6 linked regions of the Canis lupus familiaris genome follow. The protein of the gene in region 3 interacts with the protein of the main gene of each other region in a biochemical or structural test. Links are inferred from orthologs where the notes say so. Each region holds a gene or a part of one and is shown on either strand. Other genes may lie near its edges.

Region 1 (4,911 bases), on a different chromosome or scaffold from region 3:
TGCAACTTTTAATATTTAGAAGTTCCTTAGGCAGAACTCTCTCTTAATAGTAAAGTATACCCTTGTGATAGAGATATAACTTTATAAATTTGACTTCAATGAATCAAAGACAAAAATAGAACTAGTTTTACACTCTGGACAAGGATTTGTTTCCTCTTCTTATGTTAACTTTGACCCAAGCTCTTCACTTTTCATGAACAAATCAAAATGTTTATCTTTATATGTCTAAATCAGTTATATGTGATTTTTCATTGTCTAGAACCCTGCCAGCTGACTAGTTGCTTATCTGTGAAAAGCAGGTACAAATTTATAGCTCCACCTGAAGATAGGCTGTATATTACCAGCTCTTACACAAGAAAAAATACAACTCATTACATTTTTATTTTATATTTTAAAGGGAAATACCTTTGAAAATAGCTTCTGTTTAGCAAGCTTGGCTGAAAATACGGAATTCAATTGATCTTAAATTGTGGCTCCTGATTAGGTCAAATGAAATACTGCAACTGTCAAGTTAGTGTGAACATACATAAGCAAATATATGAGCCAAAGTTTATGGCCATGTAAGTGAAAAATAATACCCATGCATGATCAATCTTAAAAGAAGGGTTACTATTTTTTATTTAGGTTGTCTTAATTGAAACCAAATTTAGATGTTCATTAATAAAGGAAGTTAACACATTAAAAAAAAAAAGAACTAAATAGAGCCATCTCTACATTCCACCTTCGCAGATTCACTGTTACCTGTATGGTATTTCCAATAGGAGCCCCTGGGGCACCTTCAATATTGGGCTTGGAGAAAGATGATGGCATGCCTGGTTGACCAAGGGGTTGCTGTATGCCATGGAATGTCTGGCCACCTGCAAGATGTGGCTGTGGAAACGAAGCTTGGCTCGACAGAGGTACGGGAGCTGAAGGCTGTTGCGGCAGCATCTGTGACTGGGGATCACCCAAAGGGTTCATGATTGGTGATGTGATGGGAACAGGAGGCATAAAGTTTTCAGGCATCTTTTAAAAGACAGAAATAAAAGACACTAAGTATAAGAAAAAGAATTATTTCCTCACCTTTAAATAAGGTTTAAAAGTTTTTTAAAAAATAGAATACTTTTTTCAAATGAACTTTTATGCAATTCTAGAGTAAACCTAAAAGCAGAGGCGATCTGGCTAAGAGGGGTGGAGAGCTCAAAAACTGGACTTCTCAGTTTCCTCTTTGTCTTCCACACTTCTTCTCATATGGAGAGCCAAAACATGCTGTTTTGAAAGAGGATGTCAAAGTCTAGAGAATTATATCTAGCAATAGTGAAATCAGATATGCCAAATGTATGTTTGTATTTAATGTGATCAGGATGTAATACCCCTTTTCCTAGATCACTAAGTTGATATTACCTGTCAATTCAATCATATTAAAAGTAGCAGATTAAACTTCTGATTATCACGAACCTAAATTTTAGGGATTTTTGTTCATTTAGTGCCTCCCAATTTTATTGTTATGACCTCTCATTACTATATTTAAGGAAAGACTGCCAGAAGTAAAAAAAGAAAAAAGAAAAGTAGAAATGTTTGAGGAAAGAAGAATCTTAATCTTTTCTTGTGTCCATCAGCTCTCAACAGTTACTGACATTTAAACAGTGTTCAGCTACAAGATTATTTCTTCACTCATACTATATGTGATAGACAAAATAGTCCAAAATATAATTACCAAATTCATGACTATTGCTGGAAACCAAAGACCAAAGTAACCCAAAGAGAAAAAAAAAATCATTGGAAAATTTTGTTTCCTATTCTTTGTAAGAGACTTGTCAGGAATTTACATCTGGTCTTCTAATGGGAGTTAAATTCACACCACCATATTGGTTGTTTTGTTTTGTTTGGTTTTTTCTTTCCTTTCCTTCCCTTCATGGAGAAGATGCAAGCTAAAATACACTCTAAACCTCTCAGTCAGTAAGCTTTGCTTTTAAAAGGATTAGTGAAAAAAGTGATGTGTTCCAGATGGCTATGTGATCAACAGAACATCTGCAGGCAACTGGATGGACATCTTTTTCTAGTACCTTCTTCTTCTTGGGTACTCTGTTCAAAGCTGGAGGATCATTCCAACCATTCTGAGGACCTATAACAGATAATAAAGGGCATTTTCCTTTAGAATTCTGAAAAGAAGAAAACTCAATTATATCCATCTTACATTAAAAATTCTGCCTTAACCCCAAAGATAACTATCACAAAAGTTTTACCAGCTGAGCTCTGGGGATCACCCTGTGGCCCTGGATTCTCAAACTCATTCCTCCAAATATTTACAGGCCTTGGATTAGTAGGCAAGGTAATTTGGTATTATTTCATTTAAAGTGAAAGAACTGTACTAAATTTAGGGATAGTGAAGTCTTTATTAAAGTCTACATTGATGTATAACCTTCAAGATCAGTTAGGAATTTTCTCCTAATAAAGAAAAAATAAATAACTTGAGTCTGCTAAAAAATAAAGAATAAAAAATGCTTTTGCTATATTCAACATACAGAAAAGAATAAAAGTAACAATTTCCTATTTCCCGAGGGAGCAATTCAATATAAGCAAATCATCCATATAGTAGAAACATTGTTAAAAAAAAGTCCCAACTACACTGCAATTTTTATCATATTTGCCTTAGAAATTTATACAATAGAAAGTACTTAAATATCTGTGATACGACTTTTTTAATGCCACAAAACAAATTCCAGGTTGGCAGCAAATACAAAATTAAACTTTAGTCAACTTTAGTAAATTTCCCCTAAAAAACCCCCCAAAACCTTCATTTCAAAATGAAAAACAGACATCAGTAGCAGCATTCATTAAGTACTTTAATGCCAGTATCTTTAAAGAAAACATGCCAGAAATAGGATAGTTTTAAAATCAAAATGTGATCATTTTACATCTCATTGATTTTTGTATGTTTAAAGACAAAAAATTACTCTTCTTACAACAAATTAAACATTCTTTCAGTATTTTACCTTTTACTTGTTTTATTGATATCCATGATATTAAATCACAACAAAATTGCTTAGCAGATCAAAAAACCTGTGATCCATACATAATGCCACAGAAATTTTTTTAAAAAAACAGTATCTTCTAACCACCATACACTCATTTGCCTTACTTTTTTTGAAATTTATTTTATTTTTTTAGTAATCTCAATACCCAACATGTGGCTTAAACTCAAGACTCTGAGATCAAGAGTCACATGTTCTGACTGAGCCAGCCAGGCGTCCTTCATTTGTCTTGATATTAAAAATGGAATTAATTTTCTACAAGTTTACTAGGAGACAGAAAGCCAAATAAGCCTCAAAACACTCAAGAACTAATCACAAAATATTAAACTATATGCTGCTATCTGCTTAAATTCTTAAGGTTCTGGTAATACACAGAAAATCATTCAAATCTCTCTCATCACCTTCTAATCTTACTCCTATTTAAGACAATCTTGATATAGTCATTGTCTTTATGATCATATAAAATAGAAGATCTGAATGATTTGAATCTACTAGGTCACCATGTTAAATCAATCAGCTCTAAGATTTGATTTGATTAGGAAGTCAAATTAAAAAATGATTGATCAGATTTAGAATATCAACTTTGAGTTTCACATGCATTATTGTGAATGTCCATTCATTAACTATATTCAATGATTGCATAATTTCCAAAGACATATTTTATAACCAATTCACCTTCCAACATAGGTGCCTGGTCTTGCATATACTGATTTTCTGTAGACAAAATGTAGAAGTCATTTAAACAGTACTAGCATCAAAAACATTCTAAACTCCTCATTTTGTAATTGCTTCTTCTCCATCAACCCGAAAAAGAACAAATGAATTTTATAAGGAAAAAAAATTTCTTTTTATCAAGTCACAAAAAATACCTAAGAAAATAATCAGTTTTTGGGTAAATTGAATTCATTTAGGTTGTGTCAGATTCAATTAACTCTCAATTAACTCTTAAACATCACTCTTGCTGTGGTACTTGTTTAAGAAAAAATTTTGTTCCTGCCTATTTAAAATAATATTTCCCTGTCTGCATGGATTTTTTTCCCCCTACTATTTGATCAATAATACCACTGGGGGTGTGTGTGTGTGGTGGAGAGCATTTTGTACTACTTAAAGCTGTCAATCAAAATCAACTGAGGATCTTGTTAAAATGCAGATTCTAATTCACCAGGTATAGGGAAAGGCCTGAGATTCTATTGTTCCAGGTAGCTCCCAAGTAATGCCAATGCTTTGCTGGGCAAAGCCCTCTTTTAGTAGGGATTTAAATAACGATGGGAGGCTTTCTACACTGTCCTGCCAGACTTCAGCACTGTACTTATTAAAGAAAAGAATATCAGACAATCTTAGCAAGGTAGTGCCACTTTACTGCCAGATTTGGGAGGCAACTGGGGGCAGCCGCATCCTGATGAAACTGTAATTTTATGGAATTCATGTCAAACTATGAATATGAAGATAAATGACAATAGGCCAGTAAATATGTAACCATTTTATATGGTCTTTTCTGTAAGAATATATGGATTTGCAGACTGTTTAGTACAGGTCTTCCAAAAACCACTTAGGAGAACTGAAGTTTCTGGCAGTGGACAAGAGGAAAAAAGGCTGAAAACTAACACAGCAATGCCAAAATGGTCAGATAATCAGGGTCAGGCCAGGCCCAATCTCAAATCAAAAGTATGCAGTGGAGGTAGATTATATTCACATATCTATAACTACGGAAATTCACCTCTCTTCCCCTAGGGATAGAGGAACCAAAAGAATACAGCAATTAATTACAGAGTCCAATTTAGTTTGAGCTCTATCAAGCAGCACATGCCTCAGAGAAATTGTGAGGTGGGAGAGGTAATCCCTAGCTTGAAATCTGTGTGGAGTTTTGAACAGATGTTTTCTATAAAATATGGCTCCT
Region 2 (5,644 bases), on a different chromosome or scaffold from region 3:
GGGGCAGCCTGCTGCCCCCTCCCCCCCGGGGGAGGCTGCCTGGATAGACCCACCCAGCCCCGCGGCCCCATGTCCTTGCTCCTTCCACACGGCCAGAGGAAAGCTGGCGGGAGCTGCGCTGAGCCGGGTGCAGCCTGTCCTCCCAGGGAAGGGGCAGCGCCAGGACACTACCTTGAGCCCACCGGACAGGTGTCCCCGCCCCACTGTGGGAGGAGCACCGGCGTGGGGAAGCCACGGTGTGTCCTGGCTGTCACCACCAGCCAGCCTGTGGGCAGCCCCTCCAGCTGAGTCCTGGCCTTCTCAGGGACGGCCAGCATGCTTCTGGAAGCTTCTCCGTGGGAGGGCCGAAGGGCCTGGGGCAGTCCCCCACCTCACCCTGGGGAAGGAACCAGCCTCCCGGGGTCTGTTCCCTGGGCTTCCGCAGGAGGATGAGGGGCCCAAGGGGGGTCTGGGTTCCCCCCGGAACTCCCAGGCCGCCCCAGGCCCAGCCTTCCAGCAGGTGTTGAGGAAGGACCTGGTTCAATCAGCCGCACAGAGCCGCCCCCTCGGCGCCGAGACACTGCCCCCCAGGCCTGGCCAGGCCTGGCCAGGCCTTGCGGAGGGCGTGGGGGGCGGGGGACGGGGGGCGGGGGCCCCGCTCAGCAGCAGAGGCGAAGGGCCTTGCGGAAGACGGCACGGAACTCGGCGTTGAACACGGTGTAGATGAGCGGGTTGAGGGCGCTGTTGACGTAGCCCAGCCAGGTGACGGCGCTGACCAGCCGCGGGGGCACGGGGCAGGCGGGGCACAGCGCCCGGGTGATGTGCACCACAAAGAAGGGCGTCCAGCACAGCAGGAAGGCGCCTGGGGGGCGGGGCGGTGAGCGGGTCCCGCGGCCACCCCCCCCCGCCGCCCCCGCCCGGGCAGGCACCCACCGACCACCACGGGCAGCACCCTCATAGCCTTGCGCTCCCGGCCGGTGATCTTGGCGCGTCTCCGCTTGCGTGGCTGCCGCGGGGGCTCTGCAGGGTCGGCGGGGGGGGGCGCGGCGGCGTCGGCGGCGGGGGGCAGGGGGCGGGGTGTGGCGTCGGGGGTGTCATCGGGGGTGACCTCGGGGGGCGGCGGGCCAGGGCTGCTGTCAGGGGGCGGCGGGCGGGGGTTGTCATCAGGGCTGCCGTCGGGGGGCGGCGGGCCGGGGGTGCCGTCGGGGCTGCCGTCGGGGGGCGGTGGGCCGGGGGTGCCGTCCGAGGTGCCGTCGGGGCTGCCGTCGGGGGGCGGCGGGCCGGGGGTGCCGTCGGGGCTGCCGTCGGGGGGCGGCGGGCCGGGGCCGCTGGGTCTGCGCGGTGTCCGGCCGTGCAGCTTGGCCCGACGCGCGGCCTCCCAGCGCCGCAGGCCCCGGAACGTGGCCCAGTAGAGCAGCAGCATGAGCGGGCAGGGCAGGAAGAAGGAGCACACGGACGAGTAGACCACGTAGTCGCGGTCCTCCAGGCGGCACACGGCGGGGTCGCGGCCGCGCGCGTCGTTGAGGCCGCACAGCACGGGCGCCGCCACCGCCGCCGACAGCAGCCACGTGGCGCCGATGAGCAGCAGCTGGCGGCCGCCCCCGCCCTGGCGGTTGTAACTCAGCGGCACGGCCACCGCCACGAACCTGCGGGGGCGCAGTGAGGGCGGCGGGCCGCGGGGCGGGGCCTGGCGAGGGGCGGGGCGAGGGCGGGTCGCGAGGCGGGGCCTGGCGGGGGGCGGGGCCGACGCGGGGCGGCTCACCTGTCCACGCTGATGGCGCACAGGTTGAAGATGGAGGCGGTGCACAGCATCACGTCCATCGCCATGAGCGCGTCGCAGAGGCCGGGGCTGAACAGCCACACGCCGCCCTGGACCTGCGCCGCAAGGGGCCCGGGGTGGGGGCACGACACGCACGAGACCAGGCGGCCGCCCCCCAGCCCAGGAGCGCTCGCCGCGACCCGGGCCGCGCTCTGACGCCCAGCTTCCCGGGGGGCCGGAATGGGCCCGGGGTCCCGCCTGGCCGCATTGCCACCGCGCTGAGCAGAGCCCCTCCGTCCCCCTGGGAGGGCCCCTGGAGCGGGGGTGCAGGCGGTGGAGGACCCCAGTGTGATGCTGTGCTGGAGGCGGCCCCCCCTCCACGGGCTGCGGTCCTCCTGCCCGGGGACTTGAGCCCCGCCGCGTGCCCCCCGCGGGGTGGCGAGAGTCAGCCTATCTGGTTAAGCCCTGTCCCTGCGCTCGGACTCGACGGGTCCTCACTTTTGTGCCCTCATCTGTAAAATGAGGGTGACCATAGCACCCACAAAACCGCCCTGAGGATAAATGAGTGAGGGGGTGCATAGCCACACACGTGCCCAGCGCCCCCACCAAGAGCAACGAGCAGACAACCGCCCCCTCTAAATCCCCTGCCGCTGATTTGGGACGATTAGGAGCTTAAGGGCCGTCGCTGTGACGTCCGGCGGGGCTCGGGGGAGGGGCAGGCCCTGCATGTCCTTGTCCTGCTAGTGACCCGGCGGCGCCCGCCTCGCCGCGTCCCCCCAGGGCGCTGAGCCCCTCCCGCAGCGCCTGGCCAGCGCGCTCCCGGCCCTGAGCAGCTCTTCCGCCCAATGGGCAGCAGCGCAGCAGGGCCGGCGGCGGGGGTCCCACCAGGGCTTCGGGCCCGGCTCCCGGCGGGGGTGGGACGCCACCCCGTCCTTTGGGGTCCACTGTGAGGCGCGGGGGGCGCCCTGCTCCCTGCCCCCGGCTCCTGGGGCCGCGTGCCCCTCCTGCTGTGGGCACAGTGCGTGTCGCGTGGGCTTCCCGGGGGCCCGGCCGCCTGCGCGCTCCTGCTCACGCTTGGCTGTGCTTTGTGCAGTGATGTGTGTCCCTGTGCCCCCGGGACAGCCGGGGCGGGGGGTGGCTCGACCGAGTCTGCGCGTCCACCTGGCTCCCCGGGGAATGGAACCCCCGCCGGTGCAGGGGGGCGGCCCGACTGGCGGTGTCGCCCGTTTCTGAGCGCGCGGCTTGGAGGACGAGGACGTGTCGTTGGTAGGAGCCGCCGAACAGGGCAAGGAGAGGGGGCGCGGGTGGGGCGCGGGGCGGGCGCGGGGCGGGCTCACCTCGGAGTAGACGAACAGGGGCAGCACGAGCAGGGCGAGGAGTAGGTCGGCGGCCGCCAGGCTCACGATGAAGTAGTTGGTGGGCGTCTGCAGGGCGCGCTCGGCCGCCACGCTCGCGCACACCAGCGCGTTCCCCGCGAGCACGGCGCCGATGAGCAGCACGCCCCCCGCCAGCGCCGCCGCCGCGCCCGGGGTCCCCGGGGTCCCCGCGCCCGGCCCGCGCCCCGCCAGCAGCCCGTCGGCGTCCCCGGCGCTGCGGTTCCCCATGGCCCCCGCCCCGCGGCCAGGCGGGCGCGCAGCCCCGGGACGGCGCCCTGGCCCCGCCCCCCGCCCCGCCCCGGGCGCCCCGCCCCCCCCCTACCCCGGCCGGTCCGGGAGTTCGCGGGCCCCGCGCAGGTGGAAGGGGCGGCGCGGGGGCGCGGGGGGCGCGGGGGGGGCGGTGCCCGGCCGGGCTCGGGTCCACGCCGTCCCGCCGCGCGTCCGCTTCTCAGGGGCGGCCCAGGAGACGCCTCCGGAGGGAGCCCTCCCCGCGCCCCAGCGCCAGTGCCTGAGCGTCCGCCCGCCTCGCCCGTGCGCCCCAGGCGGGCTGCCCTCCGCCGCCCCGACCCCGCAGGGCCCCCCGCGCCCGCGACTCACTGCAGGGCCTTGGGCGAGACGGAGGAGGGCGCGCGGGGCCCGCTCTGGGAGCCCCGCCCCGCCCCGCGCACCCCGAGTCGCCGCTCCCCGAGGGCAGCCGAAGCGGGCTGCGCCCACCTGCCCACACACCCGGGCCCCGCGCAGGCCTGGGCGCAGCGGAAGCTCCGGGCCAGCGTCGCGGCGGCGCAGCGCGGCCGGGTGGGGCAGGTGCCGGGGTGGCCGTCCGCGGCGCGGGCTCACGCTGCGCTCCAGCCGGTTGCGACAGCGCGTCCTCATGGCCTCGGTGGCTCCGGGGCGCGGGAGCCTGTCCCCGTCGGGGCCCACCCGCCGCGCATGTAGCCCCGTGCTCTGGGCACTAGGGGGCAGCGGGGCCGCGGGCGGGGGGAGCGCAGAGCTGTTGCCAGGACCCCAGGAGCCTTCAGAGACAGCAGGGGACACCGGCCACCCCCCGGTGAGCCGCCGGGGTGCATATGGAAGCAAGTGCTCTCGGGAGATCGCCCTCTGCGCCCAAGGCTCCCTCTCAAATAAATAAATAAAATCTTAAAGAGAAAACAAGGATTCTGACCCCAAAATACCATAATGAGGGTCACAAGGGGCAAAGTCCCTCGGGTCTGATGCAGGACAGGTGCGTGTCCAGGGGCATCTAGCTCCGAGGTGCATCCAACGCCTCCTTCCCTGTGATGCAGACCGGTGCGGGACAGGGGAGGGGATGGTACCCTCGCAGGACAGACCCAAGGCAGGGCTGGTGCCCTGACCTTGGGTTACATGCCAAGCAGTGACTGTAGCCTAGCCTCTGACCCGCTTGCAGTTTCCTCTCTGTCCCCAGATGTCGGCCACCACTAAGCGGGAACGGGCAGTGTGGACCGGGATGGGATGTGTGCAGTGTAGACCTCTGACAAAGGATGCAGGTCCACAATATACAAAGAGCTCCATCAAGTCATCAAGAAAAGACAGTCCAGTTTTTAACGAAGGCAAAGGTCCTGCAGAGGCACATTAGTAGACGGAGGGCTCCAGGGGCCAGTAAGCAGGGAGGGACAGCTCGACACCCTGTCATCGGGGAAATGGCAACACAACTCACGGCGACTCACCTCCATGTACTAAGATGGAAGGAGTCACATATGTGATGTGAAAATGCCTTCTCCCAGCTGGGACCTTGTCACTTCCTCCTTGACAGCGGATCCGACCCCCTCCCCCCAAGCTGTGAGTCGGGGCGCTTTCCGTTCCCTGCCCGGCGGGCCAGTCGCCTGAGCACTGTTTGTTGAAAAGACTGTGTCTCCGTTGGCTCACTTTTCAGTTTCTGCCCCCAAAAATCACTGGATCGTCTTTGTGTGGGGCTCTTTTTTTTTAACCCTTGCCTGTGTTCCGTGAGCCACACGTCTAACGTCAGTCCTTGCAGAGTGACCCGCAGCCGTGACTCCTGCAGCCTCGCGGCCAGTGGGAACTCAGGCTCTGGGGCCCGAGCCTCCTTCCCACAGGACTGTCCTGGTCGCCCTCGTGCCTTGTCTGTGAGCCTGGCCCGGAGCCCCTGACTCCGGCACGACCCGCCTGCTGGGCATGTGACTTGGATCGCGCTGAATCTGTGCAACGAGTTTAGGGCAAAGTGACACCCGGGGACACCGAGCCCCCCATCTGTGAGCACGTATCTCCCTCTGAGGTCTCACATCGCGTCCATCGTCTCCAGCCTACGGGCCGCGCAGCCTAGGAGTTCGGGATTCTAGAGGCGGTAAATGGTTCTTCGGAGAAACGTCATTTCCGGGATCCCTGGGCGGCCCAGTCGGTTGGGCGTCTGCCCTCCGCCCAGGGCGTGATCCCGGGGTCCTGGGGTCGAGTCCCACGTCGGGCTGCCTGCTTCTCCCCCCGCCTCTGCTGTGCCCCTTGGTCACGCTCCCTCTCTCTTCCTCTCTCTGTCAAATAAATAAACTCTTTAAAAAAA
Region 3 (4,911 bases):
CGGAGTCTGGTCCAAATCTGCCTTTTGACTGTGTCTTATTTTCCCCATCTCTAAGTCAAGGGTGATAGCAGTATGCGATCACACACGGTTATTGTGACAGTTCTTTGAGAAAACCACATCTGAAGTATTTAGAACAGTGTCTGGCATGTGGTAAAACACAAACGTCAGCTACTAGATTTTACTTATTTCTAAAAATTGTTTTGCTGTTTTTTTTTTTTCTCCTTCTAAAATCAAATATTTTTAAGTGAATACTAGGGGGATAAAGGGAAGGGGAGGAGAGAAGATGCAGTCCTCATCCAACTCCACCGAACAGTAGATGAAGAAAATCAACATTTGTTCTACCCATGTAGATTTCAGATGGGAGGAGGACTTAATGACTTCATGACTGTGTAGGCGTGTGAAGTACAACTTGGAAAAAGATGCTGACTATGGAGTATAAGCAGTTAAAGGGAATAAAGAAAAGGTTGACAAGATAAAAGGTTGTGCTTATAGGTATTAAAGACTGTGGGGTGTCTGGGTGGTGACTCTGTGGGTTAGGTGTCTGCCTTCTGCTCAGGTCTTGATTCTGGGCTCCTCCTCCACGGGGTCTCTGCTGCCCTCTCCTCCCCCCAGCACCCGAGTATTTGTGCTCCCTCCCTCCGTGTGTGTGTCTCAAATAAATAAATGAAGTCTTGAAAGGCTTTAGGGGCTCCCGAGTGGCTCAGTCAGTTAAGCATCCAGCTCTTGGTTCCGGCTCAGGTTGTGATCTCAGGATCCTGGGATTAAGCCCCTCCTCCCCTCTGGCTCCCCTTCAGCTCCCTACTCACCACGGAGTCTGAAGATTCTCTCCCTCTGCCCTGCTCCACAAATAAATAAATACATCTTTTTAAAAAAAGATTGGTTTAGTAATTGACAGAGCACTGTAGAGTGAGGCTGTTGAATATATTGTGAAGTACTGTTAGAAAGCCAAACAGCAGAGAACACTGCACTTTTCTATTTTTTCAAAATCTCAAGTCTGATTTTTAAATTTTAAGTCAATTATCTTGAATTTTTGTTAAAGATTTATTTTAGAGAGAGAGACCACACAAGAGCAGAGGGAGAGACAGAGGCAGAGGAAGAAGGGAAACAGACTGCTGAGCATGGAGCCCGTCACAGGGCTCGATCTCAGGACCCTGAGGTCATAACCTGAGCCCAAATCAAGAGTCAGGAGTTGGATGCTTAACCAACAAGGGTCCCTTGTCTTGAATTTTTTAAGCTTGAGTGAGAATACACCAGTGTGTATTATATCATGTACATATACTTATATATATGCCTAAAATATCACATTACGTTAATGTAATTTAAAAAAAAATTTTAAGAGAGCACACAAAAGTGGGGGGTGGTTAGGAAGGGTGGGTGGGGAGGGGACAGAGGGAAGGAGAGAGAGAATTTTAAGCAGGCTCCATGCCCAGCAGGGAGCCTGACACAAGGCTCAGTCTCTCAACCCTGAGATCTTGACCTGATCTGAAATCAAGAAGAGTCCAAGGCTTAACTGACTGAGCCACCCAGGAGCCTTTTTACAAATCTTGTTACAAATCTTGTTAACCACCAGTGTTTTCTTTAGTTAATCTCATCTCCTTAGTGAAGATGTTGCTGTTGGATCTGAATAGGAGAGGTGGTAACATAAAAATGACAATAACTTCTTTTTATGGGCCAGGTACTGTGTTAAGTGACTGCTGTATTTCTTTCATGCTAGGATTAGATGTTACCATTTCATTTTACAAAAGAAGAAACAAGGGCTCAGATATTAAATGACTTGCCTAAGGTCACATGGCTTATAAATGGTAGAGATGGGGTTTATTCCTAAATTTTCTGACTCTAAACCCAAACAATATATGCCATATTTGAAAAGCTACGAATATATGCCATATTGCTTCATACAAATCTTACTTGCCTTATAGAAATTTTGACTTCTTTGCTTCCTCAGCCTCTGATATGTGGATTTTTATATTCTATAATTTCAAAGAAAAAATAGTTTATGATGCTCTGAGCCAATGCTCGGTCACATGGCTGGTAGAAAAAAACATGGAAACCTGACAGATATTCCAGCTAATTCAGGCTAATTTTAAAATGCTCTTGTGTAATACATCATCACACATCCCTGTCCCATATTGTGCTCCAGAAGGAATATCTGCCCAAGAGCATCAGAAGGACTTGGCATTTAACTGGGTAAGGAAGGTTCTCTCAGCAGCTGCTGAGCATGAAGTACTAATGGATCAGGACTGCTGACTACTAATTATATGTTGTGCATACTGTTCTTTGTCAGCTTGAGGAAAATTAGTCTGTCTTTACTCTCTCTGCACGTTGAAATCTGGAGTTCTATAAAAGAATTCCTTTTTCTCATCAGTGATTATTTTATAGTCTTTCTTTAAAAACTGGTATTAGGCAAGAAAATACCAGATGGTTTTGTCTTTTATTTTTAGGAGCAGTTGATTTAAAGGAGAGGGTTCAGAGACCTGGGTCTTAGGCTCAATTCTCTTAGCTGAACTCTGTGAATCCTGGCAACCATTTAACTTCACTGGGTTGATCTTTAAAATAAAGTAGTTGAACTAGATGGTTTCATTGTTCCCCCCTAGTCCTGAAATGCTCCTCAAATGTGGTCCAACTGAAAGATCATTTGAGTGAAGCAAGAGGGACCTCTGAGTTTTATCTGTCTCTTACTAGTTAAGAGAGCTTGCTTAAGTCACGTAACTTCTTTGAACCTTAGGTCGTTTATGTCTTAAGTGTGAATAATATCAGAACTCTAAGTCCTTATCAGGTTGCCATGAGAATTGGGTGAAATGATAGTAAATAAGTAAATAAGATAGTAAATAACTCTCAGAAAAATTATAAAGCAGATGTAAATGTAAAATACTATAAATTGCTCTGAATTAATAGTGAAATATTTTCATATTTAAGTTATTTGAGAATGGTTTATTGAATAAGAAATTTCTGGAATAAATGTACTTACATATTTTTGTTTGTAAATATTTTTTATTATGTGCAATGCTAATAAAATTTTAGTTTTTCCAAAATAATATACTAGTGACATTTTTAATGTCAGGGATTGATTTTGTTAATGGCTTTGGTAGAGAACACTTTTTGATTATTATTTTGGGTTGATGGAGGAATCAAAGATGATAAAGACATTTAGTTCAGAATTAAAGTACACTGGAGTTTTGTAATTTGAATTTCTAATTAAGGTTAATATGTAATAAAATTTTCATAAGGTTATCGATTTTCAGATAGCTTCCTGTCCTATAAAACTGAAGATTTCCACCCTTATTCAAACAATTTTCTATGATTATCTGGCATCTTCGATATTCATAACTCCAAGAGTATATTCTAGACTAAACATGCCACTAACAATAGAGTCAATAGAGTCAATCCAATATTTTGAGAAAGTATCAAACAAGTTCCTTATATTTAGACAGTGTCACAGTAGAAGGGCCCCTTAAGATGAGCTGCATCTTCTGTCATTACCAAATGTAGTCTAAAGACAAATAGAACAATACTGAGTAGTTTTAGAGAGTCTGGAGCTGTAAGCCACAGGGTCCTCTACAAGCATGAAACTTTATTGAAATTTTGTGTTTTATCTTAAAAGCTCCTGGACACTGATAGTATTTCGTGGAACTTTTGCATTCTATTCTGTAAAAGCTCTAGGCTTGTTTTATTATGAAGGCAGCATTTTAAATTATTCACTGGCAAAATTGATATTCCACAGTGTCACCTCGTCGTGTGCTCTTGGGTTGCATACAGCTGCCCCCAGTTTGAAAAGCTACCAGATACATGGCATACTTGCTTTCTACAAATCCAACAAATTAGACCATAACTTATTAAAGCTGTGTATTCAATTAATGTCCCTTCAAGCTCTTAGATATGAGATTCGGCCTTTCTTTTGTGGGATCATAACCACCATTATTTCACACCCTTTGAATTTTCAGCTTTCAGAGAAGGGGAAACCTTATGTTGATATTCAAGGTTTAACTGCTTCTACCATGGAAATTCTGTTGGACTTCGTGTACACTGAAACAGTACATGTGACAGTGGAGAATGTACAAGAACTGCTCCCTGCAGCCTGTCTGCTCCAGCTGAAAGGTACGGATGCTAACATTGCTGACCTGCCAAGGCAGCCTTGGAGATGTTTAAAAATAACGATATGAACTTAATTATGGACGTTATGGAGACAGACTGTGGGTGCTCACGTTTACTGCCTGTGGCACAGAAGATCAGATTTCAGTCATAATATAAAAGAACGTCTCCACATACGAATATTTGGCTCTTTAGAAGAGAGCATTTACATCTTTTCCATTTTTTAAAAAATAGAAGAGGGAATGCTAACCACATTTTCTTACGTATATGTACACAAGAACTCTGCAAGGAAACACAGAAAACTGATACTATTCACGGCCTTCATGAAAGGGAACTAGAGGGCCAGGTGGGTAGGGAGGGTGGGGAGATTATTCACAGCAAACCCTTTTGTACTTTTAATTTTTGAATCATGTAAATTATCTATTGAAAATTTAAGTGGACACATAAAAATGAAAGTACATAATGTTTTTACAGGGCTAGACATTCCTGTTCCCAGTCCATCTTTCTTGCACTAATATTTCTGCGATTTTCAGTTTTTCTAAACACGTGGTTGAAAATTTTCTTTTTTTAATACGTAATTGAAAACTTAGGTTTGTACTTTGAACTTTCCAATTAGAGAAATAAAAGATTGGTGTTAGTATCTCTAACTTTTCCTTCATAGGAGTCTTTCAGTAAGTTTGCATATAGAGTAAACTTAGGTACATTATATCAAATTATGATTGGTTTTATAAAAGCTTGATTCCCAAGAGTTGTATGGGCATTTTGGATTAATTGTGCCAGTGTCCATAGAAACAATTTGTCTTACTATACTTATTTTAAAGC
Region 4 (5,408 bases), on a different chromosome or scaffold from region 3:
CAATACAAACTGTTTTTACTGCTGTGGTCATTGCCATTTCCTAGTCCATCTCTTCTAACACACGCAAAATATATGGGAAGCAAATAACTAGCATTTCTCTCTGAAGCATAAATCAGTGTATGCCCTTGAGTGGACAGATTGCTCAATCTCAAGTGGCTTGTCCCCAAGAGCTCTTCCATGAATGTGTACAGTCTTTCCACTCTGATATTACAACGGGACCTGACATGACCTTAAGAGCTGGATGCATCTACCGTGTTTTCAATAAATAATAATGCCCACCACATTATTTCAATGTTTCCTATTGACTGATATTCACACACAGGTTTGGGGGTCAGAATTTAAAATCTTGGGTCATGTCGTTCTTAAATTTTCAGCTCATTTCAAGTCATACTAAAATAATAGAGGGGCACTGAGTGGTGCAGTCAGTTGAGTATCTGACTCTTGGTTTAGCTAGGTCATGATCTCAGTGTTATGAGATCAAGCCCCTGTGGGGCCACTCAGTATGGAGTCTGCTTAAGATTCTGTCTTCCTCTGCTCCTAACCCACTCCTCCACCCCACTCTCTCTCTCTAAAATAAAAACTTTTTAAAAAAATAGAATAATGGAGTCAAAAAAGGTCTGGATCAAAATATGCCTCTGCTGCATACCAGCAATGTGATCTTGGGTAAATTAAACTCTCTAACCTCAGTTTCCACATTTATGTAGTGGTGAAAAAACTTAACACTTCACAGAACTGCTGTATGAACTAAATGAAATTATATATTACTTGGCACAGTGTCCAACAAGTAGTGAGCACATAATAAATTATAGCCATTATTATTATTACTATTATCAGAAAGCACATGTAGTGCAGACAATACTACTCATACACCTAACTTCTCAGAAAGTACCCATTTTCATAATTTTAAATTTGGAAAAATAAATTACAATTTGTATTTTAACTGAAATTGTATTGCCCTCATTTGCTCTAGTATTAAAAAATAAAAACAAAATATTCTTCAGACTCTTCCATTAAAATGTTCTTGCAGGCCTTTTAGAGGCTCTATAATGTACTCTTCAATTTAAAATTAAAAGTGATTTTGCTCCAGAATTCTTTCAAATATTCTAGCCAAAAAGGCAATTTTGAAATATCCCAAACCACCACATTTATTGCTCAAAAATAAAATTACTGAAAAGAAGTACACCTCTAAAAGCACTTTTATTATATGCTAAAGCTGATCTTCATGGTAAGCTGATGTTCAATCTGAACTAAACACTACCAAGAAATGACTATTTCGGTAGAAAGATCTCTATATTAAATCATACCTTGCGGATAGCTCTATAACTGCTTATATTATTTGTCAAGTTAATAATATATAAACACTAAGCTTATAAAGAGTGTTGGGCGGATTTTAGGTGACAGAAACAAAATTCTAATTTTATCTGTGTGTGTGTGTGTGTCTATGAATAAATAAATAAAATCTTTTTTTAAAAAATTCTGATTTTAAATGCACCACTTTTGTTTTTAAAAACGTGTTTAAGATCAACTTCCTCCAAAAATGGAACCACGGGGGCTGCTGAGAACAAGGGATGAGCACTCCCTGCCAGTCCGAACCTATGCCTGAAGCCAAGCTTGCTCGCCTGCCACACGCTGCTGCTGAACAGGGTCACTTAGGTTGATGGTGACACGCAGGCCAGAGAGATAGAAAACAATTGACATAAACCAGAAGCCAACTGGGAAAAGGCGGAACATGGAAAAAACTCAGTGAGTCACCAGTTTTATTACCATGAGGGCACCATCAGCAAAACTGAGTTCAGTGATCCCAACTTTCTCAATCTCCATACACAATATTAAAAAATCAAACTAATTTTTTTTTAAGATTTTTATTTTCCTTTTAAGTCATCTCCATATCCAATGCAGCCAGAACTCACAACCCCCAGGCCAAGAGTCGCACGGCTCCTCCAAACCGAGAGCCAAGCCAGGCACGCCGAAGAATTAAAACTATTGATAACAGTTCAGATCTGCTCTTCCCCCCCGGGCCGAGCCTCGGTCACCCCGGCAACCTCGCTCCCTCCACCCCTTACACCGCCCACCTTCCCTCAAACAAGGACAACGTCGGTGGAGAGGCTCCTGCAAGCAGCACGTAATCCACGCCCACATGCCTGGGCCGACCAGCATGACACTGACAGTTTTCGGTCCTCCCGATCTGTCCAATTCGTGGCGCCTCCGCACAACTCGGAGGGGGGGCAAAAAAAGAGACGGACACACAACACTCAGCGACAGCTCAGCGTCGAACCTCCTGACCCCCCGCCTTGACACGGGCCGGCCGAAGAGCCGATGCTCTGCTCCACCCGGCCACCTCCCCACCCCGGACTCCCCGAGGACACGCGGGGGGTGGAGGGGGGAGGTGGCCGAACGGGCTCCCGGTTACTCCAGGGTCGCCCCTGGCCCTGGGAAATCAGAGGCAGCAGGAGGCGAGGCTGCTCGGCGCGCGGCGCGGCGCGAGCCCGGGACCCGCCACCTCCGCGGAGCTCCTAGGCCACCAGGCACCGGGGCGGGCGCGCCGGGCAGAGGCGGGCGGGGAACCCGGGAGCCCGTGCCCCAGCGGAAGGCTCAGCGCGCTTCCCCTCCGCCGAGCCCTCCCTGCCGCCCTCACTCCGACGGTTTACCTGCAGGAAGCGGGCAAAGCCCGGCGCTTGCGTCCACGTCTGCCAGCTTCGGCGCCACCGCGCAGCCCGTCTCCGCAGCAGGCGGCAGCCGCCACTGACAGAGCGGTGGGCCCGGCCAACTCCTTCCCATCAAACCCCGCGCTCCCGCCGCCGGCCAATCAGCGCCACGGCCGGCGCGCGCCGCTCCCCGGTCACGTGACTGCGCCGGGGGCGGGCAGTTGGGGCGGGCCGCTCGGGCGGTTGGCGGAGGACGCCGGCCCTGGGGCTTCCGCGGCTCGGTAGGGGGCTCGTCGTCGCATCTCGGGGCGGGGCGGGGCGGGACTGCCATTGATTGGGAGGCTTACCGGCACGGCTACTTCTTTTCCTCGGCCTCCTCTCGTTCTTTTGAAGCCTGTTCTGCCAACTCTCACTGGAGAAAGAAAACCCCGAAATTGACCCTTGGGGGGGGGGGAGGGGGGGTGCTAGGTCGCCGCGAGAGGGACGGGTGGGGTTGAGGGTGCAGATGGCTGCGTCTGGAAAGGACTCGGCCCTGAAGAGCCCCAGGGTCAGCCTCCCGCGGCCGGCAGCGGAGGAACTTAACCCTACCTCACAGCGCAGCCAAGGCCCGCTCCCCACACGAGCCCGTGGAGAAAATCCAGCAGACTGAGTGCCGGAGGCCTTCGTCACTGCTGAACGTCAAAAAGGGTCATTTTGATGACAGGACGCTGACCTCACCCGTGGGGGGTGAGCTTCACACGCCGGAGGATGTTGTTCTCAAACCCGTGGAGGTCACAGAGGCCGAGTTTTCTCTCTTAAAACTCTCACCTCGCGAATACGCCCTTCCCAGGTCCTGATCTCCGGGCCCACGGATGACCCCACACACACACACACGGGCTGCGTTCACCTCAGATTTGAAAGCGTTTCCTAGTCCACTGCACGTGACCAGTCTAAATAGCCAGAGATAACGTGAACCCGTGTGAGGTAACCGTGCAGAAGGGGTGAAAAGCAAGCAAAAGCTTTGGTAGTGGCTTACCTCCGTGACTTGCTTGTGCAAACATTTTTCACGGGATATTTTTCTATTCTGTTTAGTTACATCCGAGTTTTAAAATAATGCATCCGTGAGTGTCTGTCATTGCTTTAAGGCGCTACATGGAAACTTTGACGAAGCCGAGCATAGGGTACCGGAAGCTACCAGGTGATTCGCTGTGAGGTGAGATCGTCCTCACTGTTAGAATCTTTCGTTACAGCTGTGTAAGCTTGAAAGGACGAAGGCAAGGGAACCAGAGTTTACTTGTGCACTCTGGGTCTAGTAGAAAATAGAAGAGTTTTATAGATTGAAATTCTGTATCCCAGAATTCCCTGTGAATCCCCTTGGCCTTGTTTAAAAAAAAAAAATCTATCGAAGAAAATATGAATAGAAACATTTCATCTATTTTGATTACAGAAATTTAACCATTTCATTTTTCATCCTTTGCTCTTTCGAAGTATATATTTTTAAAAGGCCTGTGAAGTTAATGCAAAACATATCTCCTCACCTCAGGAATATATTTTCCTAAGAGAACAGGAAAGAAATGTTTACCAGTTGCTACTGATTTTGTTCTCTAGTTTTAACTGGGCCATCAAGGTCTGTTGTAAAGGGGAAAAAAAACAGGAGGGAGAAGACAAGAACTAGCCAGGTGCCAGGCATCCCAAAAACCTGATCCTGAGACAAAATTCCATAGATAATTACTCTGGAAGAGGAGACACTTGGAGGGTGAGATGTATGGAATCACTAACTCTTTTAACCAAACAACTTCTTTTTTTTTTTTTTTTTTTTTTTTTTTTTTTTTACCAAACAACTTCTTAAGGTAAGTATCATTTTAGAAATGAGGAAATTGATTAGAAATATTACGTATATTGCTGAAGGTAACACTGTACCACTACCTGGTAAGAGTTTGTCAGGCACAGTAAGAGAAGACCAAATATTTCTCGAGGACAAGACCCTATGTACACATACAGATAAATAAAACAGCTGTCCTAAAGTAACTGACACTAGTGAGAGAAACCTTCAAGAAAACACACAAAAATAATAGGGTAAATAACCATGATAAAGGCAAGTGTTCAAGAGATTGGAGAAGGATAAGGCAACAGCAGCCAGAAGGGGTATGGGAAAGCCAGTGAAGGTGGTGCTTTAGCCGAGTCCAAATATTGAAGAATTATTGCCTACTAATCCTAAATTTCTCCTGTGATAGATTCTAAGGAAGTGAAATCAGAAAAGCACCAGAGAAGATGACAAAGGAAATAAACTAGTCAAAGGAATGCTAAAAGGTCTAATTCAACAAATAAGTAAACCCACATTTATTCAAAGGAATAAATGAAAGCTGCAAGAAATAGTTGCTATGAGAGCTTACAATAGGGTCATTCACTGACCTGGTCAGAAAGGTGAGAGAAATCTCCCTAAAGGAGGTCCTACTGGAATGGAAACCTGAAAAATGAGATACTGAAAAAAGTAGAAATGGAAACCGGGAACATCATGCGTAAAGACCTTTTGTCAGAGGGGAACACTGCAAGCCTGAGGAACAGAGGACCAATGTGGCTAGAACGTAGACCATACAGAGTTCACAGTACGCTGGAGACCAGACATTGTTGGCCATACTGAGAACCTGTATCTTCTTGAGAAGCAGAGAGGGGATTTAACTATCATATCTGTGTTTTGAAAAGTTCATTCCAACTGTAGTGTGAGAATATGAATAGAGCCAATTAGGGTCCCCAGGTGGTATTTAGTGGTATTTCAAATGGATC
Region 5 (3,624 bases), on a different chromosome or scaffold from region 3:
GTATTTGTGAATGTAAAGCTATATTTTGTTGCTTACAGCTAGTATCATTTTAGACATATTGGGACTTACAGAAAGTGAAACTCAAACCTTAGTATATCTGTTAAAGACCAAACAAAACAAAACAAAATAAAACAAAAAACCCAGTTATGTCCACATTGGGGAAGAATAAATAGCAAACTCACAGGGCAGGGTTTTGTATCTAGCTCTACTGTGAAAGATAATCACTCTTTAGCTTAAAAAGGCTCCCCTGCTGTCTTGATTATAAATCGAGACACAGGAAAGTTTACTTGAGCCTGAGTCCCTACTATGAATTAATTGTAAAGATGTGTGAAATCAAAACATATATTCATTTACTGATAGATATTGTCTTAACTGAAAGCTGGCAATCTTGAAACAAAGAAATGCTTATTTCCGACAAGTGTAAACACAAATCTTAATGAAAAGATTTTCTAATTTTTCGTCTTAACTCATACATTAACCAGCAATAGATCTCTGTAGTAGCACAAGAACTATTCAAAATTAACATGCATATATCCAAAAAACCTGTTCTAAAGCCCAAAGCAAAGCAAAAAAAAAAAAGAAAGATAAATCAATAGGAAGATTGTCTACTTATATCTCACTCATTAATCTTCTAATAATGTGACTACCTCCAAATCTTAGAAATAAACTTTCATAATTACCAAAATCAACAAAAATAATTAAATGATCTGTAGGTATTGTTTTGTTTTTTTTAAATAACCGCACACTAGTATTACACTGGTGCTTTGAATGTGGATAACGCTTAAGGGTAGCTCCAAATATCATTAAAATATATCCGGACCAGTTGCAATCCATGAAACAAGAGCGAATACAACATTAACATAAACCTTAACGAAAATATTCAGGACTCTACAGAACAAATTTGCAGAATAATGGATAATTAACTTGTGTGAGCTGGCCAGGGGAGCTCAGATCGTTGCCTCCATATAAAAACTTCTCAGAAGGCTTTATGTTCTCGAGGCCCTCCCTCACTTGCAGACAGCAAGTTAGCCACCTGTGCATATCCCGGGTTGGGTGCCGAGCTTCCTCAGTGGCCTGGAGAAGGCCCCTCCGTCAGAGAACGATCTAGAAAGAAAGTGCCCTGGCGTTTGTGCTCATGCGGCACAGGTACTGGCATGTTAGGGTGTGTGTGTGTGAGGACCTATACGTGTGTAGGCCCCTGAAATGTTGCAAAGGCCTGGTTTCCTGGTTTCTAATTGGTGCAACATCCCTTCTGGCCTGGTCACCATCAGGAGCAGTGCATAATTCTATTCCATCGGAAGAGAAGGCCGATGGATGCCTTCATTTCGGGGCATCTTCAAGAGGCGGCAATTAGAAGATCAACATACTAGGGCCCACGGTTTTTGGTTTTACAGTAAATAAAAAAATTTTTTTTCTTTAGAGAAACAAGCCTTTGAGTTTAAAAACCAAAGGGTCTGTGGCTTTCAAAAATCTTTAATTTTTAAGGAAAAAACAAAATAACCCAAAAAACCACCCCAACCCAGCTCACCTGGGAACAAACAGCAATTGCGCTTATGCTATGCGGTATGCGAACAAGACACACATATACACTGGGGTACACCCGTAGACGTGGAACAGGGAAAATCTTTCCAAGGGCTCGGCCCCCCAGATCTCCCACCACCCCCCCCCCCCCGGGAGCAGGAGCGTTAGGAGGAGGCTGCAGACATGTTGGGGGTCCAGCCCATCTGATAGGCCCTCTCCAAGGTCCTCTTGCAGTCCTGCAGCACGGTGCTGAAGGTGATGTGGGGGTACTGCTGCACCAGCTGCTCCACCGTCACTTCGTTGACCTGCAAGCACAGAAGAGCCGCCGTCAAGCACAGGCCCACCGAGCCTGGCAGCCGCCCCTGGACTCCGGGGAGGAGCCCTCGCCCCTTCCTTCGCGGCAGAGCCAGGCAGCATCCATGACACGACACGACACGTGTCCTTGCTGTCTGCCCTCCCGATGCCTCGGCACTGCACTCACCCGGAGGGATGCTTAAAAAAGACATACGCTATCAAGGAACCGAACGTGTTTTCTAGAAGCGTGAGCGATAGGGACTCGTGGAGACCTTCACGGTGCCGTGGGAGAGCCGGGGTGCGGGAGGGGAGGCGGCAGTAAGGCACCATTCTTAGGTGCCTCTGCCTTCATCGTCAACCCGACAGCTTTTTTAAGGACAAAACTCTGGATTGGGAGAGAAGATCCATGGGATTCCAGCTAGGAGTGCTGGGGAAAATGTTTATTTTTCTTCCCTTTAAATGTTAAGGTATTGCAAACTCCAAGTCCCTTTGTGAAAAGGGCTGAAATGTGAGGAATCAATAATTAAAACATACGTGGCTGGCAGGTCAGGGATGGCCCCGATAGACCTTAACCATCAAAGATACCACCTTGATTCTTGATTAGACAAGGCAATCAGACAGGCCTAATTAAAACTAACACCTTTACAATTGCTGTGCTGTGAAGGGATTAATTTGTCAATTATTTTTAAGCTGATTGCAGTTCATATCACAGAAGCAGACAGCTTCCTTCATCCTTTAGATAAATAAATGATTAACCTAAGAACCACAACTTTTAGGTAGCTTTATTTAAAATCTTTATTGAACACTTGGGCATTTTCAGATACATCAATATTTCATTTATACTGAGTAAGCTGATCTGAAAGGAGGTGCTTATGATACACAGTTCCGTGCTCCCTCCCTCTCCATGTCTGTCCATTATTGAAAAGGATCAGGGCCGCCAGGAAAAACCCAAAACAACATCAAACCCTTGCTGTTTGCTTTGAAAGCCTGTTAAAGAAGGATGATGACCATGACATTCCATCATCTGCACTTTTCTGAAACGACATGATGTTCTCTGGGTGATTTGGAAAACTATGTTATATATAATATCTTTTTTAAAAAATGAGAATTGATATTCCAGCATTGCATTGATGGTAATCCGTGGGCACACCTCTCTCTTCAAGACTTGCTTATATTTAAATCAACCTTCATTCCAATTTCAACCAAACCATGTAGGTAATCAGTTTTTGTGATACAGATATGATGTATAACGCTGTTTTCAAAAACAAGAAGAAGATAATTTTAAATAAAAAGGAAAAACTGATAAATTAGAGTTGAGAATATGAATTGATGGCCCTAAGATGATTTTTAAGCAGCGTTTTTATTTTTTATTTTTAATTTAAATGTATGCTCTAAGTCTTGAGTTGAGGCAGCTTACAACAATATACTTAGAAGGTCACGCACCAACTAGCCCTGCCAGTCGTTCTAGCATGTTTTTTGATACTCCAGTCACCTGACTTCATTTCAGTTTATCAAGTTGTCCAAGTTTCTTCTGGCCTCAGGGTCTTTGCACATGCTATTCTCTTTACCTGGAATACTTCTTAATCCACTTTCTCCTAAAAACCCTTTCTTTATGCCTACTTCCTAGTCACTCTTGAGTTCTTAGCTTCCATGTCATTTCCCCGGGAAACTTTGATCACTGCCTTATCCCTGCTCCCCCTCCCCCCAATCTAGGTAAGGCTTCCAGGTCATTTATTTTATTTATTTTATTTTTTTCAGGTCATTTATTCCTTCAACATTGCCCCCTTGGTCTTCATAGCACCTAGAAAG
Region 6 (5,531 bases), on a different chromosome or scaffold from region 3:
ATAAACACTCTCTTTTAAACAGGTTCAAGTACTGACAGAGTAAAGACCCATCTTCTTTAATAAGCAGCCGAAATAGAAGCAGCAGTGACACCATGTAGTGAAAACATAGAAGCCTAAACCTACAGGTCAGAAGAGGTCCCGCCACCACATCCCCAGGGCTCATAGGACAATGCCGATGGGTGATTTGGTTTGTTAAGTGCTCAGCACAGTGCCTACATGCACTGGATGCTCAGTCAGTGGCAACTGTCATCATCATCACCATCCCCTGAGCTGGCTCCCTGGCCAGGAACAATACTACTACTGTACCCTCAGCCGGCAACACTGAACCCTGCTGCGTGCCTGGCACTGTACCAAGCGCTCTGCACGCATTTCCTCCATCTACACACCCAGAAAGGTCAAGTCCTTACCCAAGGTCACATTCCTAGAACTTCTGGGGCCAGGATTTGAATCTAAGCAGGAGCCCTCTGCAGGGACACCATCATGCTAATGAGGGCAGAGTGTGACCATCATTCCCTGAGGGGTTTCACACAAATCCAAACCTGGATGGCACTCTCGAAACTTCAAGCAAACAGACAAAAAGATGTCCAAATGGGTCCTGGGTCAGTCCTCACTTACTGGAAAAGAACGCAAAAGGAATGACCCCTGAGAGCACTCTCACTGTAGTGGCTAGACTCTTTCACAAATGACTGTGAAGACATCTGTTTTGGTCAATAATCAGAAAGGGGTTTTTTTGTTTTGTTTTTTTGAGAGAGTGAGAGAGGGTGAGAGTGGGCCAGTGCAAGGGGGCGGGGGAATCCCAGACAGGTTCCACCCCAGCATGGAGTCGGACACGGGGCTTGATCTCACGAGCTTGAGATTGTGACCTCAGCCGAAATCAGAATTCGGACATTTAACGGATTCAGCCACCCAGGCACCCCAACACTTAGAACGTTTTAAGCCAGATCTGCTAACGTAGCCTGCTGGATTCCAGCTTGTTTTGACATCTTTCTAGTAACCCAGTCTTCTACTCCTCCAAGTGAAACTCAAGCCCTTGGAGACACAAAAAATGAAAAGATGATAGTAAGAGAAGAAACAAGAAGGCATAGTCATCAAAGCTGAAGTAAAGAGTTTTCTTGGTTTCCTGAACACAGCAACATACATACATGTCCGCGGCCCACGCGTTAAACGCTGGAAAAAGTCAGTGATATGTACCATTCTTTAAACTGCCTCCCACTAATAACAGTAGGTCTCTCAACGTCTTAGAATCAATCCCCTTAAAACCTTCAATGACACACCTCTGGAAAGAGAAGCTACAAATCTTAAGAATCAGAGAAGACAGTGGCATCTGAGGGATTTTTACAAGAATACATAGCCAGGTGTTCACTGAAGTAAAGGGTCTCAAACAGTACTTCCACGGATTAATCATGCTGGAAGCGGCAAGAACCGGACTCCACCGAGAGCCTCCAACACACCACCACAAGAGCCAGGACACTGTATCCCGGTCTGAGCGCCTAGTATTCCTCCACCGATAAAACCACCTTCCCACAATCCAGCTGCCAGCGCCAGCCCTCCAACATCCCAGTCACTTCCCCGTGCTGCCCCGGCACCTTGTGATCCTCTCCAGAGAGGTTGGAGAGATGCAGCTACCTGAGAAACTCAGCGATCTTCAATGTACCTCAAAGTGCATCTACACTTCCTATCCTTCCCTAAAGCCTCCCTGCAACCCCCATTTCTCAAGAACTCAGCAAGACCCTTGGAGCAGGACGTCACTTGGCAAAATAAATCAGAAGCACCTCCACCACGTGCCAGCAAGAAGAGTTAGGCCTTAGTAAGTCCTCTGTACTTGGAAAAAGAAATTGTTTACAACAAGATGGGTCAGATTCAAAGTTCAGGTCCTACTCACCGTTGGAGAGTGCTTGCTGAAGCTCGTTGTCTGATATCACCCCGCTCCTGTCTTTATCAACCCTACAAAATCAAGACCGGTGATTAAAAGTGCAGGACAAGCAAAACACAGCAAGCACACACGTGGACCTCTTGCGTCAATTCTATATTCACTCTGGTGGCCTCCTTCCCATGGCCCTTCCACTGCACTCAGCCAGGGTGTCTCCCAAATTCTGCTGGGAATAAGGAGATGCATGAGCCCCTGCTCTCATCCTAAGTGCTCCACCAGCCAAAGTCCAAGTCGGTTCTCCCCAGAGACACTGAACCACTTCTTCTCTCTTACACCTTCTCAAGCCTTTCTGCTTTGCTTCCCTTTGGCCAGCCTGAATTCCACCTGCACCAGTTCCTCTCCTTTCCACAAACCGCAGAAACACTGCCTCAGACAAGTCCTTTCCTGGCTGTGGGCCATTCAGGTCCCGGTCACTCATTCACTTGGAAGGACGACCCAGGATACAAGTACCAGCTTCCTTCGCAGCCGAGGCAGCTTAACAGCATTGAAGCAGCCTGTGTTTCTGTTTACCCTAAACAAGCATCCGGGAGACCTCCAGGAGCAGCAAGCTCCTCAGCCCGCAGGCTCTTGGCTGTTGGGGACGTGTGTGTAGGCGTGTAGGCGGCACCTCAGGGCATCTGGGGGCGGGGCTCTGCACCTGGACGCCCCCCCCCACCCCAGAGCGACGGGTGAGCCCCAGGGCGGCAGCAGGGTGGGGGGGTGCAGAAGGCCCGGGAGAGGCCTAAGGGAGCCAGGCAGGAGGCCAGGGTGATGGGAAGACTAAGTGAAACAGGAAGGAGGCAGTGGGGAGGCCCAATGGAGCCAGGAAGGAGGCCAGAGCAGACAGACTGGAGGGAATCAGGAAAGAGGAGGGGAGGGGAAGCCAGAGGGCAACTGGAAGGAAGCTGGGCGGGGGAGGAGGCCAGAGGGAAGCCAGGAAGGAAGCCCAGGGGAGGCCCAGGGGAGGCCGGAGGAAAGCCAGTGGGAAGCCAGGGAAGGCTGGTGGGAGGCCAGGAAGGAGGCCAGGAGGGAGGCCGGAGGGAAGCCAGGGAGGAGGCCCAGAGGAGACCGGGGGTAGGCCAGGAAGGAGGCCAGGAGGGAGGCCAGGAGGGAGGCCGGCGGGAGGCCAGGAAGGAAACCAGGAAGCAGGCCGGGGGAGGCCGGTGAACCTGGTAAGCGCCCGGGTGGCGCCGGGCCTCACCTCTGGAAAACGTTCCACAAGAAGCTCTGGTCCGGCAGCGCCGCGCCCCCGGCCGGGCCAGCCCCGGGCCCCGGGCGGTAGGAGTAGGCGGCCATGGGCCCAGGCGGCAACGCTGGGCCGAGCTCCCGGGAACGCTGGAGACCCGGGCGGCTCCACTTCCGCCTCTGCTGGGGCGGGGCCTGGCGCTGACGCCACTTCCGGGGACGCCGGAAGGCGGTGTCGCCCGCGCAGCCTAGCCCCTGGCGGCCCGGTTGCTAGGCGACGCCCGGGGCCGCGGACCCTGGTGCGGAGGCCGCTCGGCCGGCAGGGGCACCGACAGGACGCGCGGAAGGGGCTCCCCTCGACCGTGTTTCATTCTTGCACACGACGTCCCGGGACCGAGTGTGACCGAGGGGGACGAGACACTTTTCCGGAGTGTTTCTGCGTCCCCGTGCGTCGGCGGGCGGTGTCACCCGCACCTCGCCCCTGCCGGCGTCGGGGGTGGGCCCTGCTGGGCCTCAGGGCCGGCCCGCCCCCGCCCCCGCCCCCGCCCCCGCCGAGGCCCCGAGGAGCGCTCCGCGGCTTCCCGGCTCTCTCCGCCAGATTCCTCGAGGGAACGGGGATCTCCCGTGACCTTCCGGGATCTCCTGGAGCTCCCGTGATCTTCCATGACCTCCTAGGATCTCCGGTGACCTGGGATCTCCCCTGATGTACCACGGCCTTCCGCGACCTCCCGCGATCGCCCGTGACGCTGGCTTCGCCTGAAGTACCCCCCGCCCCCCGCCCCCTCCACAGGAAGTTTTCCCACGCCTTAGCAAATTCACATGGTTTCTACGTTTCTCCTCACAAAGTACTCGCTGAGCAATGTTTTCTGGAATTTTCCACAGCTTCTGAAGTCCATCTGTGGTCTGTGTCCCATCTCGGGCTCCTAACTGCACAAAATTGATAGCTAGGATTCTGCCGCGCACTTCGCGGGGAGACTTCCAAGACACCACCCGGCGGGCGGGGCCGGGTCACGGGTGTCGCTGTGTGCTGTCTGCCCTGGAAGGCCAAGCCACACTCCTTTCCCGTGGCCAGCGGGGCCCACAGGGTCACACCGCACCCTCGTGACTCAGGGACTTCGTGGGGTCCTCAGGCCAGCACCTCACGGCCATCAGCTGCAAAGTACACAAATTCCTGACCAGAAAACCATGGTGGGCCTGGTCAACAGGCAAGGAGCTGTAGCCCAGGCCTCCGTGTGCTTCCCGGAGTCATCCTGTGGGGCAAGGCTGACTCTTAAAAGGGAGATTAAGTAGTAGGAAACGAAGGCTTAAAGACAATCCTGCCCTGCCCCCCAACAATGTAACTCACTAAGGTACAGATGATTCTAGAAGGCGTCTTCAGAGACACTGGCTGGTGCAGTCCCTCCCTTCACCTCAGCCCTGATTTCTTTTTTTTTTCCTAAACATTCATTTTTTTTTTATAAATTTTTATTTATTTATGATAGTCATCAGAGAGAGAGAGAGGGGCAGAAACACAGGCAGAGGGAGAAGCAGGCTCCATGCACTGGGAGCCCGACGTGGGATTCGATCCCCGGGTCTCCAGGATCGTGCCCTGGGCCAAAGGCAGGCACTAAACCGCTGCGCCACCCAGGGATCCCTCAGCCCTGATTTCTAATGAGCCACTGGCTCCAACTGTCTGCATGGAACAGGTCGGGTGGGGCACAGCACCTGGGCCATACTGCTAGGGCAGGCCTAAGCCTTGGGGTCCTCTCAGTGAATTGCTGCCATTGGTGGGGACGGTGTTGCCTGGAGTCCTGTGGCCTCATGGCAGAGATGCGCAGCCACAGGGGAGACCGTCTCCTCGCCAGCAGAAAGATGCAGCCTAGCCCCTGCCTAGTTCTACAGACTCAATCACTTAAAGTATTAATGTACTTGCCACTATCCCCTCGCCTATCTTGGGATTCAGTTCCCTCTTAACCAGGTCTGTTCTAAGCTTTCCAAGTAGATGGTGCTCCTGGATGGGAGAGGAGAGAAATAAACTGAAAGACAACACTGCTCTCTTCCTCCCATTAACGTTAGCACATAATGTATCTAATGTTGGGCCAGTTGGAAAATGCCTTTTATTACCCTTAGAACTTTTTAAACATTGGCTATTTCTGGGTGCTAGCATTCCTAACACTTCATAGTCTACCCTCTTGTTCATCGTATGTCTTTGGCATATAGTGAACTCTCAAATGTTAAACAAATGGGATGACCAAGTAAGTTATATGTCCATTCTTTTGTGTGTGTGAATGTGTGCATGGGCGCACGCACACACACACACTTTGTATGTATCCACCCTAACAGCTTTCCCTCTGAAGGCACATTGAGTTGTCATTTGTGCCTTATTTTCTCATCAAGACCACCAATGACTTGTACTGTGACATTTACACGCTAGAGACCTTCTCTGTCACTTCCCTTT

What was found.
Region 1: of the proteins of KLHL12 (region 3) and SEC31A, one has a biochemical effect on the other in vitro, tested with the Homo sapiens proteins (3 studies listed by BioGRID, with this or other methods). The link is inferred for Canis lupus familiaris from reciprocal best matches to the Homo sapiens genes KLHL12 and SEC31A.
Region 2: of the proteins of KLHL12 (region 3) and DRD4, one has a biochemical effect on the other in vitro, tested with the Homo sapiens proteins (2 studies listed by BioGRID, with this or other methods). The link is inferred for Canis lupus familiaris from reciprocal best matches to the Homo sapiens genes KLHL12 and DRD4.
Region 4: the proteins of KLHL12 (region 3) and LNPK form a complex in vitro, tested with the Homo sapiens proteins (2 studies listed by BioGRID, with this or other methods). The link is inferred for Canis lupus familiaris from reciprocal best matches to the Homo sapiens genes KLHL12 and LNPK.
Region 5: the proteins of KLHL12 (region 3) and FBXL17 form a complex in vitro, tested with the Homo sapiens proteins (3 studies listed by BioGRID, with this or other methods). The link is inferred for Canis lupus familiaris from reciprocal best matches to the Homo sapiens genes KLHL12 and FBXL17.
Region 6: the proteins of KLHL12 (region 3) and PDCD6 form a complex in vitro, tested with the Homo sapiens proteins (2 studies listed by BioGRID). The link is inferred for Canis lupus familiaris from reciprocal best matches to the Homo sapiens genes KLHL12 and PDCD6.

Annotation. Positions count from the first base shown.
Region 1 is NC_049253.1:33,229,524-33,234,434, reverse strand, and holds part of SEC31A (protein transport protein Sec31A), read right to left. Parts: intron 3,729-4,911; coding exon 3,690-3,728; intron 2,105-3,689; coding exon 2,046-2,104; intron 1,006-2,045; coding exon 742-1,005; intron 1-741. UniProt on the Homo sapiens protein: Component of the coat protein complex II (COPII) which promotes the formation of transport vesicles from the endoplasmic reticulum (ER).
Region 2 is NC_049239.1:26,078,701-26,084,344, reverse strand, and holds DRD4 (D(4) dopamine receptor), read right to left. Parts: upstream 3,343-5,644; coding exon 3,076-3,342; intron 1,855-3,075; coding exon 1,742-1,854; intron 1,626-1,741; coding exon 913-1,625; intron 842-912; coding exon 639-841; downstream 1-638. UniProt on the Homo sapiens protein: Dopamine receptor responsible for neuronal signaling in the mesolimbic system of the brain, an area of the brain that regulates emotion and complex behavior.
Region 3 is NC_049228.1:389,389-394,299, forward strand, and holds part of KLHL12 (kelch-like protein 12), read left to right. Parts: intron 1-3,941; coding exon 3,942-4,095; intron 4,096-4,911. UniProt on the Homo sapiens protein: Substrate-specific adapter of a BCR (BTB-CUL3-RBX1) E3 ubiquitin ligase complex that acts as a negative regulator of Wnt signaling pathway and ER-Golgi transport.
Region 4 is NC_049257.1:20,133,688-20,139,095, forward strand, and holds the start of LNPK (endoplasmic reticulum junction formation protein lunapark), read right to left. Parts: upstream 3,326-5,408; 5' UTR 3,234-3,325; exon of another isoform or gene 3,116-3,233; intron 3,058-3,115; 5' UTR 2,993-3,057; intron 2,806-2,992; exon of another isoform or gene 2,649-2,805; intron 1-2,648. UniProt on the Homo sapiens protein: Endoplasmic reticulum (ER)-shaping membrane protein that plays a role in determining ER morphology. Involved in the stabilization of nascent three-way ER tubular junctions within the ER network.
Region 5 is NC_049224.1:4,092,668-4,096,291, reverse strand, and holds part of FBXL17 (F-box/LRR-repeat protein 17), read right to left. Parts: intron 1,827-3,624; coding exon 1,686-1,826; 3' UTR 1-1,685. UniProt on the Homo sapiens protein: Substrate-recognition component of the SCF(FBXL17) E3 ubiquitin ligase complex, a key component of a quality control pathway required to ensure functional dimerization of BTB domain-containing proteins (dimerization quality control, DQC).
Region 6 is NC_049255.1:12,069,123-12,074,653, forward strand, and holds the start of PDCD6 (programmed cell death protein 6), read right to left. Parts: upstream 3,408-5,531; 5' UTR 3,206-3,407; coding exon 3,111-3,205; intron 1,945-3,110; coding exon 1,883-1,944; intron 1-1,882. UniProt on the Homo sapiens protein: Calcium sensor that plays a key role in processes such as endoplasmic reticulum (ER)-Golgi vesicular transport, endosomal biogenesis or membrane repair.